Regions from separate parts of the Mus musculus genome. Here all the other regions are reported to be linked to region 3. Evidence: microRNA targets listed by miRTarBase, many of them from high-throughput screens and not tested one by one. Region 3 holds a microRNA gene; each other region holds the end of a gene's coding sequence.
What was found. Region 3 holds the annotated microRNA mmu-miR-339-5p (UCCCUGUCCUCCAGGAGCUCACG, at 1,160-1,182, opposite strand). A microRNA usually pairs through its seed, bases 2 to 8, with sites in the 3' UTR of a target mRNA and lowers its output. Matches are read on the target gene's strand: a 7mer-m8 pairs with bases 2 to 8, a 7mer-A1 pairs with bases 2 to 7 and ends in A, and an 8mer does both.

Region 1: the mRNA of Bloc1s3 is a reported target of mmu-miR-339-5p. Seed matches in the 3' UTR shown: 7mer-m8 at 1,944-1,950.
Region 2: miRTarBase lists Lats1 as a target of mmu-miR-339-5p. Seed matches in the 3' UTR shown: 7mer-m8 at 2,042-2,048.
Region 4: miRTarBase lists Man2a2 as a target of mmu-miR-339-5p. Seed matches in the 3' UTR shown: 7mer-m8 at 652-658, 7mer-m8 at 828-834, 7mer-m8 at 1,325-1,331 and 7mer-m8 at 2,566-2,572.

What each region holds. Positions count from the first base shown.
Region 1 is chr7:19,504,202-19,507,304 of GRCm38, forward strand. It overlaps Bloc1s3 (biogenesis of lysosomal organelles complex-1, subunit 3), which reads right to left. Exons shown (of 2, transcript NM_177692.4): 2 at 1,603-3,103. The coding sequence ends at 2,813. Among named protein-coding and RNA genes, the nearest start is that of Bloc1s3, 2.6 kb to the right of the region's middle.
Region 2 is chr10:7,712,746-7,715,855 of GRCm38, reverse strand. It overlaps Lats1 (large tumor suppressor), which reads right to left. Exons shown (of 8, transcript NM_010690.1): 8 at 1-3,110. The coding sequence ends at 2,846. Among named protein-coding and RNA genes, the nearest start is that of Katna1, 12 kb to the left of the region's middle.
Region 3 is chr5:139,368,549-139,371,658 of GRCm38, forward strand. It overlaps Mir339 (microRNA 339), which reads right to left and starts at 1,197; the gene lies at 1,102-1,197. All of the region lies in intron 2 of 3110082I17Rik (RIKEN cDNA 3110082I17 gene), which reads right to left.
Region 4 is chr7:80,349,217-80,352,326 of GRCm38, reverse strand. Man2a2 (mannosidase 2, alpha 2) reads left to right here. Exons shown (of 24, transcript NM_172903.4): 24 at 476-3,110. The coding sequence ends at 628. Among named protein-coding and RNA genes, the nearest start is that of Hddc3, 7.6 kb to the right of the region's middle.

The sequences.
Region 1 (3,103 bases), not on the chromosome of region 3:
GGACACTTGCCTTTTCTGCTAGGCTGGTTGGCCAGCAAGCTCTCAGGATCTTCCTGTCTCTGTCACCCCCAATTTGGGTTCCAGGCATGCGCAGCTGTGCCTGCCTTTGTTCTTGGGGATTGGACCCCAGCTTCACCTGTGTCCAAAGCAAGAGCTCTTAGCCACTGAACCATTTTCTCAGGACCCTCACCTTTGTTCTTGACCAACCGAGTACCCTGGGTTTTGTCTATCTCCCAGAGGGATGGGTCACGCCCATAATCAATCCAGCACTAGGAATGCAGGAGGACTGTTGAGGCATTTATTGTCATGACGGAAAGTGGATGCAGGGAGGAATGTCTGGGAAGGAAAGCTTACTGGCTACATCCTCCAGGCCTTTAGGAACCTTGTTAAAAATGGAGATCTGTCTTGTGCCTACTTGACCACAGGTCACAGCCTTTACGAGTGGAGGGGCTTGGGCGTTCCCCTTACATGACTGATGGTCACAAATCTATGGGGGTGGGGCTGCTGCTAGTGACAGGCCTGGTGCCCTGGAGCAGGTAAACCTCCTTAGGTCCCTTCAGGCTCTCCTCGGCTTCTAGCCTTAGCTCAGCCGGGGACCATGGTACCTTTCAAGGTCCCATGCTTTATGGAGCAAGAGTGTGGGGTTAAGAGCAGGAGCAGCCCTACTGGAAGGTATGCATGCAGTAGGGATGGCTTGTGTGTGGCTGTGTACATGGAGCCCCCTCTCTGTCCTTTCTTGGTCTGTGTACATCTACCCAGTCCCTGACACAGGTGGAGTTAGGGCAGAGTTGTAAACAAGTGCTTGTGAAGAGTGGCTGGACCCTCAGGTGAGGTGGCACAGCCTCCTTATACCCCCTTCTTCTAGGGAACTCAAAGGTCAACAAGTCCTTTCTGTGGTGGCCTTGTGCCAGCGGCACAGCAGAGCTTCGGGAGAGGACAGCCTTGCACATCACCTGTCACATACAGGCCCTTACATGCACATACACAGCTCCTGACATCTGCAGACAGATCTGCACATCCAGGCACACCTGAGCCCACAATACAGTCACACCTGCATGCATGCAGACACACCTGTTTATACACAGGAAGCTCTACACACATGCAAGCACACGTGCTTACACACACACATGGACACACCTGAACATATAGGCACACCTGTATACAGCACACATACTGGGTAAACATACCTGCAAGCACACACATATGTGCACACAATTTTTTTCCTTTTTTAAAACTGAGACAGGATTTCTCTGGGTAGCCCTGGCTGTTCTGGAACTTGCTCTACAGACCAAGCTGGCCTCAAGCTCAGATCTGCCTGCCTCTGCCCAGCCAGTGCTGGGACTGAGGTGTGTGCCACCACTGCCTGACATGCACCAGTTACATGTTTTGTTTTTGAGGAGGGGAGGGGTTTGGTTGGATTTTTTTGAGGTTTTGTTTTGTTTTTTGAGCTGAGGACCAAACCCAGGGCCTTGCACTTGCTAGGCAAGAGCTGTAACCCTGAGCTAAATCCCCAATCTCCACGCCTAATTACCAATAAAAACCCTGACTCTAGTTGATGTAAAAACAAAATAGCATATCAGCTGATAGTTAGAATCAAGAGGGTAAATTTTTTAATAATTTATTTATTATATATAAGTACATTGTAGCTGTCTTCAGACACACCAGAAGAGGGCATCAGATCTCAATACAGATGGTTGTGAGCCACCATGTGGTTTCTGGGGTTTGAACTCAGGACCTCTACTTTCCAGCCCCACCCCACCCCCCACCCTGGGTAAATTTTTAAAGGGGACACAGGCATCTAAGAATGTTCTAGTTTGACCGGGCAGTGGTGGCACACGCCTTTAATCCCAGCACTTGGGAGGCAGAAGCAGGTGAATTTCTGAGTTTGAGGCCAGCCTGGTCTACAAAGTGAGTTCCAGGACAGCCAGGACTACACAGAGAAACCCTGTCTCAAAAAACAAAACAAAAACAAAACAAACAAACAAAGAATGTGCTTGTTTGTTTCTTTTGAAGCAGGGTGGTCCTAGGAATTGAACCCAGGGCCGCCCACACTAAGCGTACACGACACCACTGAGCTACAGTCTCACCCCACCACCCGAGCTCCCTTCCACATAAGGTCACTGAATCCTCATTAAGACAGAGACAAAAGGAGTGGCCAAAAAGACACCCAAAGAGCCAAACCCAAAGAGGCAAAAAGAACCTGTTATCCTCGAGGCCCATAGAGGTCAGAATCCAAGTCCTTTTAGCATCCAGAAAGAGACACAGTGAGTGGTAGATTTGTATTTGTGGTGTCATGTCTCTATAGCGATCAAAACACCAGGAGGCGCTGCCCCTGACACAAAGGCCTAAGAATTAGGGTTACTACCCAGGCCCTAGGTTGGTCTGCATTTGGCCACAGCGGTCGGTAAGAGGGATATGTGTAAGAGGAAGGTATCCTCGGGTCAGGAGTGATCATCATTTAGGGATGTAAACTAGAGAGACACCACTACCCCCCAAAGCCTAAATTCAGAAAGGCTCAACAAAAGAAAGCAAACCTCTGGCTTTGCCCAAGAGTAAAGCTGAATTTAGGAAACAGGACCAGAATGGATAGGGGCTAAGCTACTTGATAGCCACAGAACCTGGGTTGGGGAGCCCGGAATTGTGCTAAGAATATCAAAGAAGATGCGAGGATTCGGCTTCTGTCGGCATTGATCAAATGCTACCACGCATTGGAGGCCTCGGTGATCCAGGAACAAAAACAGAGTCAGATGCCACAGGTGGTACGAATGTTCACCAAGAGGCAGAGTCAGGTGGGGGGACACAGAGTGACAGCCTAGGCTCTAGGTCCCGGGTCCTGCTCGGGCTCCATACCAGGGACCCCTCGTATGTCCGGCAGCAAGCGACAGCCAGCCACGATATCCAGGCGCTCGGCGAGCGCGCAGAGGTCCCCGCGCGCCAGGCGCACGCTGTGGGCGGCTGCCAGCCCGGTGGCCTGAGCAGCCGCCAGCCTCCCCGCCAGGGCGGCCACATCGCGACCCGCACGGCGGTACACGCCGCTCACCGCAGCCGCTACGTCGTGGTCCAGGCGCGTCTGGCTCTCAGCCAACCGGAGCTGCAGCAGCGA
Region 2 (3,110 bases), not on the chromosome of region 3:
AGGTAGGACAGATACAGCAACAGGGCCTGCCTCAGGACATCACTGCACAACATATACCAGTATGTACAAGCACATAATTATAGAGCACATTTTATAAATACCACTGATACACACTGAAGGGGCACGCACAGGAGACGGCGGGTTCTAGGGGAGAGCTGGAGAGCAGCGTCTTTGCCGTTTTAATTAAGTGTCTATGTTTTCTATGCTGTGCTCATTGTTTGCTCAGAAAGCAGCAACTCCTATGCTGGGAGAACTGGGTGTAGTCAGGGGTAAAATAACCAACATGAGCATCCAAAATGTTAAAATTGTGAACAAAATACTAAAATTGCAGATACCGAATCCTTGTATACTGCCTCAGACAAACGCTAGAAGCTTATACTGTCCGAGGGAAGCAAAGAAGGACGTAGAATTAGTGTTTACATTCTGAGGCACCATGGTCGTGGGGAGGGGCAGCACCTTAGCAGTCCTGCGTTGTGAACATGATCCAGGTGTAAAACCACTAAATGAAAATGTCAGTCTGAGTGAAGAGCCCGAAGGTCAGAGGGCTGTCTTTCTGACCTGTGGGAGGGACCCAGGCCAAACCTCCCTCAATGCATGCTTTGCATAGGGCCTTCAGACTTCAGACGCTCCATGCTGTGAAGACTGTCTGGTGACAGCTCTCATCAGGAGCCCTCAGAATCACAAGACACCAGTGCCGTTAGAACAGTGTTATAGACATGTCTGTGTTGTGCTGCTTTCATGTTATAGACATGTCTGTGCTGTGTTGCTTTCACGGGCTCATTCCAAGAGCAGATCATTACTTGTTTACAAACGTGCTCATCTGAGCGCTGTGCAATAAAGTCAAAGGATATCAAAGGTCTTACTTTGATATAGCAATTGACTCACAGGATGTAGGTCTTTAACCTGCTGTCTGGGAAGTTTTATCACACCCAGGGTCTCTTGAGAGTGCATGCAACACTTTCTAATGTATGTGTGGATACACACTTTTTTTCAGTAGGGCCTGAGTTCACATAGTCTTTATCTCAAAATGATCTATGGTCTGAAGGCTCACTTGTACACGTGACAGGTTCCAAGCTCAACATGAAAGTGTAAGCTAATAATGTTTTTCTCTCTCCCCAATTCAAACAAATAGCTTTGCTTTTAATTTTACTATACATATGGTTTTAAACAAATTATCTTTTATAAGAAAGCTAGATAGGTAAACATCATTCCTAGCCACAAACATTAAGTCTGATAAAGCAATTCATGTCAATAAACCTTGAAAAAATGAAATAATATACATACAAACTTTACTAAGGTCAGAGTACAGCCCCATTCTTCTTCCTAAAAGATGTTCCTAAGATGTTTGTTAGGGATCCACAATTCTTCCTTAGAACCTAAACATTATATAAATAGGACATTAATCTTAAATAACTTAGGAAGTTTTCACTTTCTAAACTACTATGTATCTAATTAGGGATGCTCATCCCAATTAAGAGTTAATTAATAATTATTTTTAACCAATTAATCTACTCTTAGGTATAATAGTGCCAAATAGTTACATTTCCTTTGCCAACAATTTGTATTGTAGCACTGTTCTGAAAAAGGAAATCTATAGCATCAATGACACAATCAAGATTGGTCACTGTACAACAAAGGTACCTTTATGTGGCAGGGGCTAGGGACTGAACCCAAGGCTTTGTGTATGTTAGGCAAGTGCTCTACCACTGAGCCATATCCTTAGCCCCTAGAAAATGTACTTTCTTAGTGAGTACATACACGTAAATTAAAAAAAAAAATTACAAACTGAAAATAATTTCTTTACTTAGGAGATGGAAATTTTTCTTCTAATTTTAAGATACAAATATTACAGATCTTAGTTTCAGTTTGAAAATTCAATTCATGGCAACTTTGTTCCCTTTTAAAACTGGAAACAGCTGGGTGTGGTGGCACACACTTTTAATTCCAGCTCTCGGGGGAGGCAGAGTCTGGTGAACCTCTGAGTCTGAGGCCAGCCTGGTCACAGAGCGAGTTCCAGGACAGCCAGGGCTACACAGAGAAACCCTGTCTCAATCCCCTGCCCCCCAAAAAACCAAACCAAAACAAAAAAAAAAAAATCAAAACAAAACAATACCCCCACCCCTCGAAAAAAAACCCAAAACCAAACCAAAACAAAAATCCCAATAAAACAAAAACTGGAAGCAGCATTAATACCAATCTGGAAACAAAACTAGCAGTGCTCTGGCTTCTTTAAAGCCGGTATCTGAAAGAAAAATGCTAGGTTAGGTTGAAGACTTCTGGGGAGGGAAGGGGTAAGCTGCATTATTTCTAGTGAACATATTGTTTTTGCTCTGTATTTGTGATTACAGGATATGACTTCAAGATTAAAATTACTCTAGGAACACCTTACCTTCTAAAACAACGGCTTGATTTCTTTAGCGTATTGGGAACTAAACCCAAAGTTACAAGGGAAATATGGTTATATTTCATATTTGGTTAAAGCAAGATAAAACTGTCTTTCAAAAATCTTCAAAAATTCTTGAATTTTAAAATTATTTATCATATATACAAAAGATACCAGGCTTCTCTTTTTAAACAGAGCACTATTTTTTAAGTACTTTAAGTACCAAGAATTGACTATAATACTCAGTTCATAATTTACTTTCCTTATAACAATTTTTTCTAAATTACTGAATTAAAAGGGTGGAATAAATTAACATTTTAAAACAATTTCCCATAACTTAGGAAAATAAAATATTGTACACAGAGCACACAAACTCTGTCACATTTGCATAATTTTCTCAAAACTTCAAAAACCCCTGCACTTCAGGCCTCTTGCAAATTCTTACAATGATCTCCTAGTTTATTAAACATACACTAGATCTCGGTTGTTTCCATCGGAGCTTGTGTGTTGATCATCTTCATCAGACTGTTGTTCTGAGCCCTGTGAATGAATGTATTCATACTCAATAGGCTTTGGATAATTATATGGGTAGCCATTGTCATCAAAAAACCTCCGAAAGGTGAACTCATAGAAAGCGTGCTCGGGGTGCTTCCCATTTTTATACCATCCGTTCAGAGTGTCACTGATATTTTCCTCCTCGCTGCCATCGCTCCACAATTTATCAGGA
Region 3 (3,110 bases):
GAATATGTCCTGAGGATTGAAAGTCCAAGGCTAGCTTGAGCTTAGCAAGTCTGTCTCAAACATAAACAAAAACCCCTCAAAGGTTAGTTGTAGACCTTGGCAGTAGAGGCCCTGGTAGCCAGTGCCAGACACACAGCTCTGTAGGACCTTCTTTCTTGGAATGACTGAGTCAGGTGTAAGGATGAACACAGGTGAGGGTAGAAGGACCCTCTGTTGTCCCCACCCCATCATGTGACCAGAGCAGCTGTACTGGGGGCGCAGCTGAGTGGCAGGGAATCCAGTCATTTGACCCGCTTCACACAGGACAGAGTCCCAAGGGCACAGCAGATGGTCGATGGAGCCCAGCACCTGGCCTGTCTATCACATACCCAGGTGGTGCCTCCAAGGCTGGGGCATGGTCTCTGGTCCCTACCACCCCTATACCTGTTCCCCAGACATTGGGAATGGCCTACAAGTGACAGCGATGTTTGTGGGGGGAGACCACGAAGCCTGCTGAGGCTGACGAGCTGGGTGCCAAGGCCAGTGGACTCTGTTCTCATTCCCCAGCCCAGAATCAGCCCTCCTCCATTCAGTTGGAGCCAGCCCGAGTCCAGGGTCCCACAGAGGTGTTCGACCTTGAGAGCCCATTCCGGTTCACAGACCTCAGCAGACTGCTGCCCGGCTATGCACTCACTCGGTAGCAAGATTTCCAGAAGACAAAGCAAAAGCACAACAACATAATGAAGAGAGGGGAGAGAGTTTGTTTTAAAGGAAGCTTTTTATTTGGAGGTAATTACTGAAACACAGTGGATGTAGAAGTGACCCAGGGACACCAACTGCCAGGACATAGGTCACACGCAGTAGAATCAACTGGTGCTACAGAGGACACACACAGAGGGAGAGACCTGGAAGGCTCCCTCCTGGCTCCTCTCCCCTCCCCCTCAGTGTCTGCGTAGGTTAAGATGATTAGGACCCCAGAGGGGTCAGTGCCTTGCGTCACCGCACAGAGAAACCAGAGTCCCCTCCATCCACGGAACAACCTGCAGATCTGCACAATCGAGTTCAAGAAGGTACAGCATGAACAGCCAGCGACTGAGCACCCTGGTCTGCAGGCAAGGGTCTGTGGACAGTGCAGGGGTGGACACCGGCTCTGTCGCCGAGGCGCTCACAGGCAGGCATACGTGAGCTCCTGGAGGACAGGGATAGTGGCCACCCCGTCCAGCTCTGCACAGCTGTGCTCTCACCACCTTGGTGCCAAGGCAAGGGTCACACCCACCTAGGGATCCCCTTCTAGATATGACTTTTCAAATGCACAAAATGTCACTTAAGCCCCATGCTTGAAAAAGACAAAGATGACAGATGCGGCACCCTGCCTCCTCAGTGACCTGAATGGCGGAAGTGAGCAGCAGATCTGATGTATCCCTGAGAAACAGGAGACTGGGCCATCACCAGCTGCCACAGGACACACGAATCCCCAGAGGTGATGTTGTCACCGCCACCAAGCCCAGGCTCTGTCCAGGCCACAGGTCCTTCTGCAGTCACGGCAGAAACACCCTGTGTCACTTACTTGGGGGTTAAACACAGGCTAAAGCCTAAGTCTTGACCTCAGGCTGCCCAGAGAATTAACTTTCTCACAGACTCCAGCACAGACCACAAGGCCTCTAGGCTGTGAGTCCCCGACTATACATCGGTTTTCTTGGCTCTCTGGCCTCAGCTCACCTGACTCAGGCTGACTGGCCCCACCAACAAGGTTATGAAGGTCCCATGGGTTTTCTAGGTCTAACCTCTCCCACTGCTATCTCACATGTCCCCAGTTCCAACACAGGAGCAGACAGACCCCAGGAGCTTGAACAGGGTGCAGATTTCCTTGACTAGGCTGAGGGGCTGGCTCCAGAAGATAAAACTTCCGTCCCTTTGCCTGCAGATCACAGGAACTGGTCCCAGCAGCTCTGGCACAAGTTTAAGTGGGAAGCCCAACTCGGCCATCAGTGAAGCTCCTGGTCCAAGAGCAAGGACAGAGTCAGCCCCTGCCACCTGAATCACGGGCGTGAGGGCGACACACACAACAAGCTCCCACCTAGGTCTACTCAGAAATGGCAGAAAGCAGCCAACAGGCAGGGAAGAGGGCCCTGCAGCGGGGGAGATGGGGAGGTCTCTAATCAGACCCCTGCAGTAGGAGACCCTGAAGTGAAGGAGAGGGAGGGGCTTGCATCTATAACTGAGCATTCCCAGGCCAGGAAAAGCCTGCTGACACAAGAACCTGTGTACTGTGCAGAGCCTGCGCTGCGTCCCTGAGCCGAGCGAGACTCAGTCTCATTTCAGCTGCAGTCTGCCTCCTTCGCCCTAGCTGGAGGCCTTCTTTCTAGCCAGGGCCAGGTACCCACATCCCCTTCTCTAGAGCTTCCCGGCATGCCCACCACCCAGGGATGCTTGTTCTAGCCTGGTTTCCACGTGCCCCACTCCCAATTCTATTTGAGTGTGCCGGTAATCAAAATGCTTTTGATTTTGGCTTCCTCTGGTAGAGCAGCTGTGTTCACACATCCCAAACTGCCTAGTGGACCCCCAAGTGACATTAAGGTCATGGAAGCTTTCTTGCTGTGGCCAAGGAAAGGCCATTTCTCCTGCTACAACGGGCCCAGCAACCACCCTGCAAGCAAGGTCAGATGTCTCTGCTCACCTGGGTAAGTGACTCCCTAGCAATCCAAAACTCCCCACCCCCCTTTTTTTAAAACAGCAGAAATGTGAAGACAGCTCTGAGCCAACGAGGGCAGAGATGACCAGAACAAACACTGGGGCACAAACAACACTCGCAGGATCCTCTATAGTTCCTACTTTTTGTGCTGATCTTGCTATTATAATGCAGAGCGGATTTCTAAAGCTTGAAAAGCCCACTAAGCAAAGTGTGGGAGTCATCCAAGGTGCGGGTGCAAGCAGCTACAACTGGGCAGAAAATGGGGTCTCCCAGGGAAAAAAAAAAAACCAAACAAACAATTATGTACTGTCAAAGACTATCAGCCACCAGGCTTCCACATTAGCTGAGCAGCCTGCGATCCTATTTCTCCTGCGAGTGTCAGCCTGTGAGCACAGCCTGCCAAGTTCTCACCTCCAGACCCTAACTATACCACCTTCCC
Region 4 (3,110 bases), not on the chromosome of region 3:
AGTTGAACCCCTGAACTGCCTGCCTCTACCTCCCAAGAGCTAGAGTCCTGTTACACCATTTTAGCTCTAAGAATCTGACAGAAATCCAGGTGTGTTGGCTCACAACACAGTCCCAGCACTGTGGCAGGACTGCTCTGAGTCTGAGGCTAGCCTGGATTACAGTGTGAGACCCTGTCTCAAAAAATCCCAAAAGGGCTGGGCAAGGTGGCGCACACCTTTAATCCCAGCACTTGGGAGGCAGAGGCAGGTGCATTTCTGAGTTCGAGGCCAGCCTGGTCTACAAAGTGAGTTCCAGGACAGCCAGGGCTATACAGAGAAACCCTGTCTCAAAAAAAAAAAAAAAAAAAAAAAAAAAAAGAAAAAGAAAAGAAAAGAAAAAAAAAGGAAAAAACCCAAAAGGGCAGCACTCCGTGTAAGGAAGAACTTACCCACTGTTAGCAGCGCCCGGCTCACCCTGCCCCCTTTCTCTTCACAGCTAGCCCTGGGGAGCCTCTTCCATGGCCTGGATGTGACCTTCCTGCAGCCAACCTCCTTGACTTTGCTATACCCTCTGGCCTCACCTTCCAACAGCACTGACATCTCTCTGGAGCCCATGGAGATCAGCACCTTCCGCCTGCGCTTGGGCTAGGCCAGGGCTTCTTGTGGCCTGAAGACAGGGTTCATCCACAGAGACTGCCTCCTAACACCAAGACTAAGCTGGACAAGCCACACCAAGTCTCCCCTCCGCTCTGCCTCAGAAGTGACAGACTGTGCTGTGCCCTTCCGTTGTCTATTGCTGCTCCTGCGTTTGGAACAGTCCTTACATCAGCAGGCGGCGGGGGCAGAGAGACAGGGGAGAGGAGGCCCTTGCCCTAGGCTGTGAGTAGGTACCCAGCTGGGCACAACTCAGGCTTCATCCTTTTCCCAAAATGGGATGTAGGAAGAGTGGGGACAAGCAGAAGAGGTCAGGGAGGCTGGGGGACAACCTCACGCTAGGAGACTGCAGGTATGAGCTTGCTCTGCGGGGTCATATGGACCCCACAGTGCTGGTATGAGGGTACAGGAGCAGGGTGATTCTGGGAGGAGAGGGGTAGGCGCCCATTATTAGTGGAGTAAAGGCGTGGAAGGAGTCCCTGGTTCTCCTAAGAGCCTAAAGGCTTTGCTGCTTTCTGCTCTGGCTCTGTTCTGAGTGCCACTGGGCCTGCTCTGAGTGCCACTGGGCCTGCATGCCCTGGCTAGGGGCTGCTGGGTGCAGGAAGGGCTTGCTTCAGACTCCAGGCCAGAGGCCACGGAACACTTCAGGCACTAGCACTAGTTCTCAGCTGATCATTTGGTGTTGATCTGTGACAGGGGTAGGGAGTGTCTCCCCCTGATCTGCTTTCTTATCTCACACACCAGGCTCCCCACGAGTTCCCATTGTGGGGATCCTGGCAGGATTCCTTTCTCTAAAATGGAAACAGAGTTTCCAAGAGGGCTGTGCTTGGGTGTCTTGGGAAGGCATCCTGTGCTGGGGCCCCTGGTGGGCTGAGGAGGTTCACTCGTATCCCACCTGCAGAAGTATTACCTGCCCGCTGTGTGGACGAGGAAGGCAGAGACAAAATTAGGAGGTCATGTGCTTGGATGAACCTTCGTTTTTGCTTCAATCAATAGAGAATCTGTCTATAAATGATAAGAGTTGGTAAAAGCAAAGTTCCATCCTTACGAAAACTTAGTAAGCCAAGACTAGAAAGAAGCCCGTAATCTGGATAAAGATCTCGTCACCAGTAAGCGAAGGCGCCCAAAGCATCGGACAGAGCAGGCTCTGATCCCCTCAGTCAGAAACTGCCCGGCGGCACAGTGTGTTGGTGTCACTAACCCACACTTCAGATGGAAACAAGAATTACAATTGCCACTGTTTTAAAACCATAAGCTACCTAAGAAACCTGTGTGTCAACTAGCAAGGCATTCTGTGAGTTGCCCTGTAACGACTGGTTCTCCCCAAATCAACCCATAAACATCAGTGTAATTCCCACGAGGTTGGACACTTTCTGGAACTCTTCAGGTCCTGGCATTCATCTGGAAGGTGACAGGCTGAGGATGTGAAGTAGTTCTGAATGGCCGAGGTGATGAACGGCTGCTGACACTAAGGCGGGCAACAGGCAGTAGCTGTCTTAACAGAGTTCTCAAACGACTTGGACTCTTCTGCCAGCGTGAATTCAGCTGCCATGATAGGTCAGGTCAGACAGACCTAGGCACGTAGAAATTCAGTATATGATTTCAGGTGCAGGGGAGGGGAGGTGGATATTTTCATAGTGCTTTGAGACAGCTACCTACCTATGAGACTTCTGTTTCAAAAACAAAACAAAACAACCTAGGGCTAGAGGGAAAAAAGCAAAAGCAAACAACAAAATTGTTATTATTATTATTATTATTAATTATTATTTTAGTCTCACTATGTACCTCTGGCTGTGCTGGAACTCATTATGTAAACCAAGCTGGCCTGGAAATCACAGAGATTCCCCACCTGCCTCTGCCTCCTGAGTTCTGGGACTAAAGGCATGCGCCATCATCACACCTGGGAGGAAAAAAATTTTTTTGTTTTTTTGAGACAGGGTTTCTCTGTGTAGCTCTGGCTGTCCTGGAACTCACTCTGTAGACCAGGCTGGCCTTGAACTCAGAAATCCACCTGCCTCTGCCTTCCTAGTGCTGGGATTAAAGGCGTGCACCACCACTGCCCAGCAGAAAAAAATATTTTTATACCTGATTTAGGAAACCCTTTTCTAGACATAACATGAAACCTAATATATAATGGGGGAACATTAAAAAATAGGTTTTGACACACACACACACACACACACACACACACACACACACACACACACACACACACACACAAAGCTTGAAAGCATGCTATAGGAAACAGGTTAAATCAATACAGCTGTGTGGGTGGAAACGAGTCTGCAGTGAGTTCTGTCACTGCTGGAGAAAAGTGTGTTTTGACTTCTCAGAGAACGTCACTAGGGTCTGTCCAGCAGCACCCAAAGACTCAGTAGTGACAAGGCTGAGTTCTTGCAGGGTCTCCATGGTTTATGTTGCCAGGCTCAGGCCACACGGCTTCCTATTCATGTCTTGGTGACAGGAATGAGATGAAG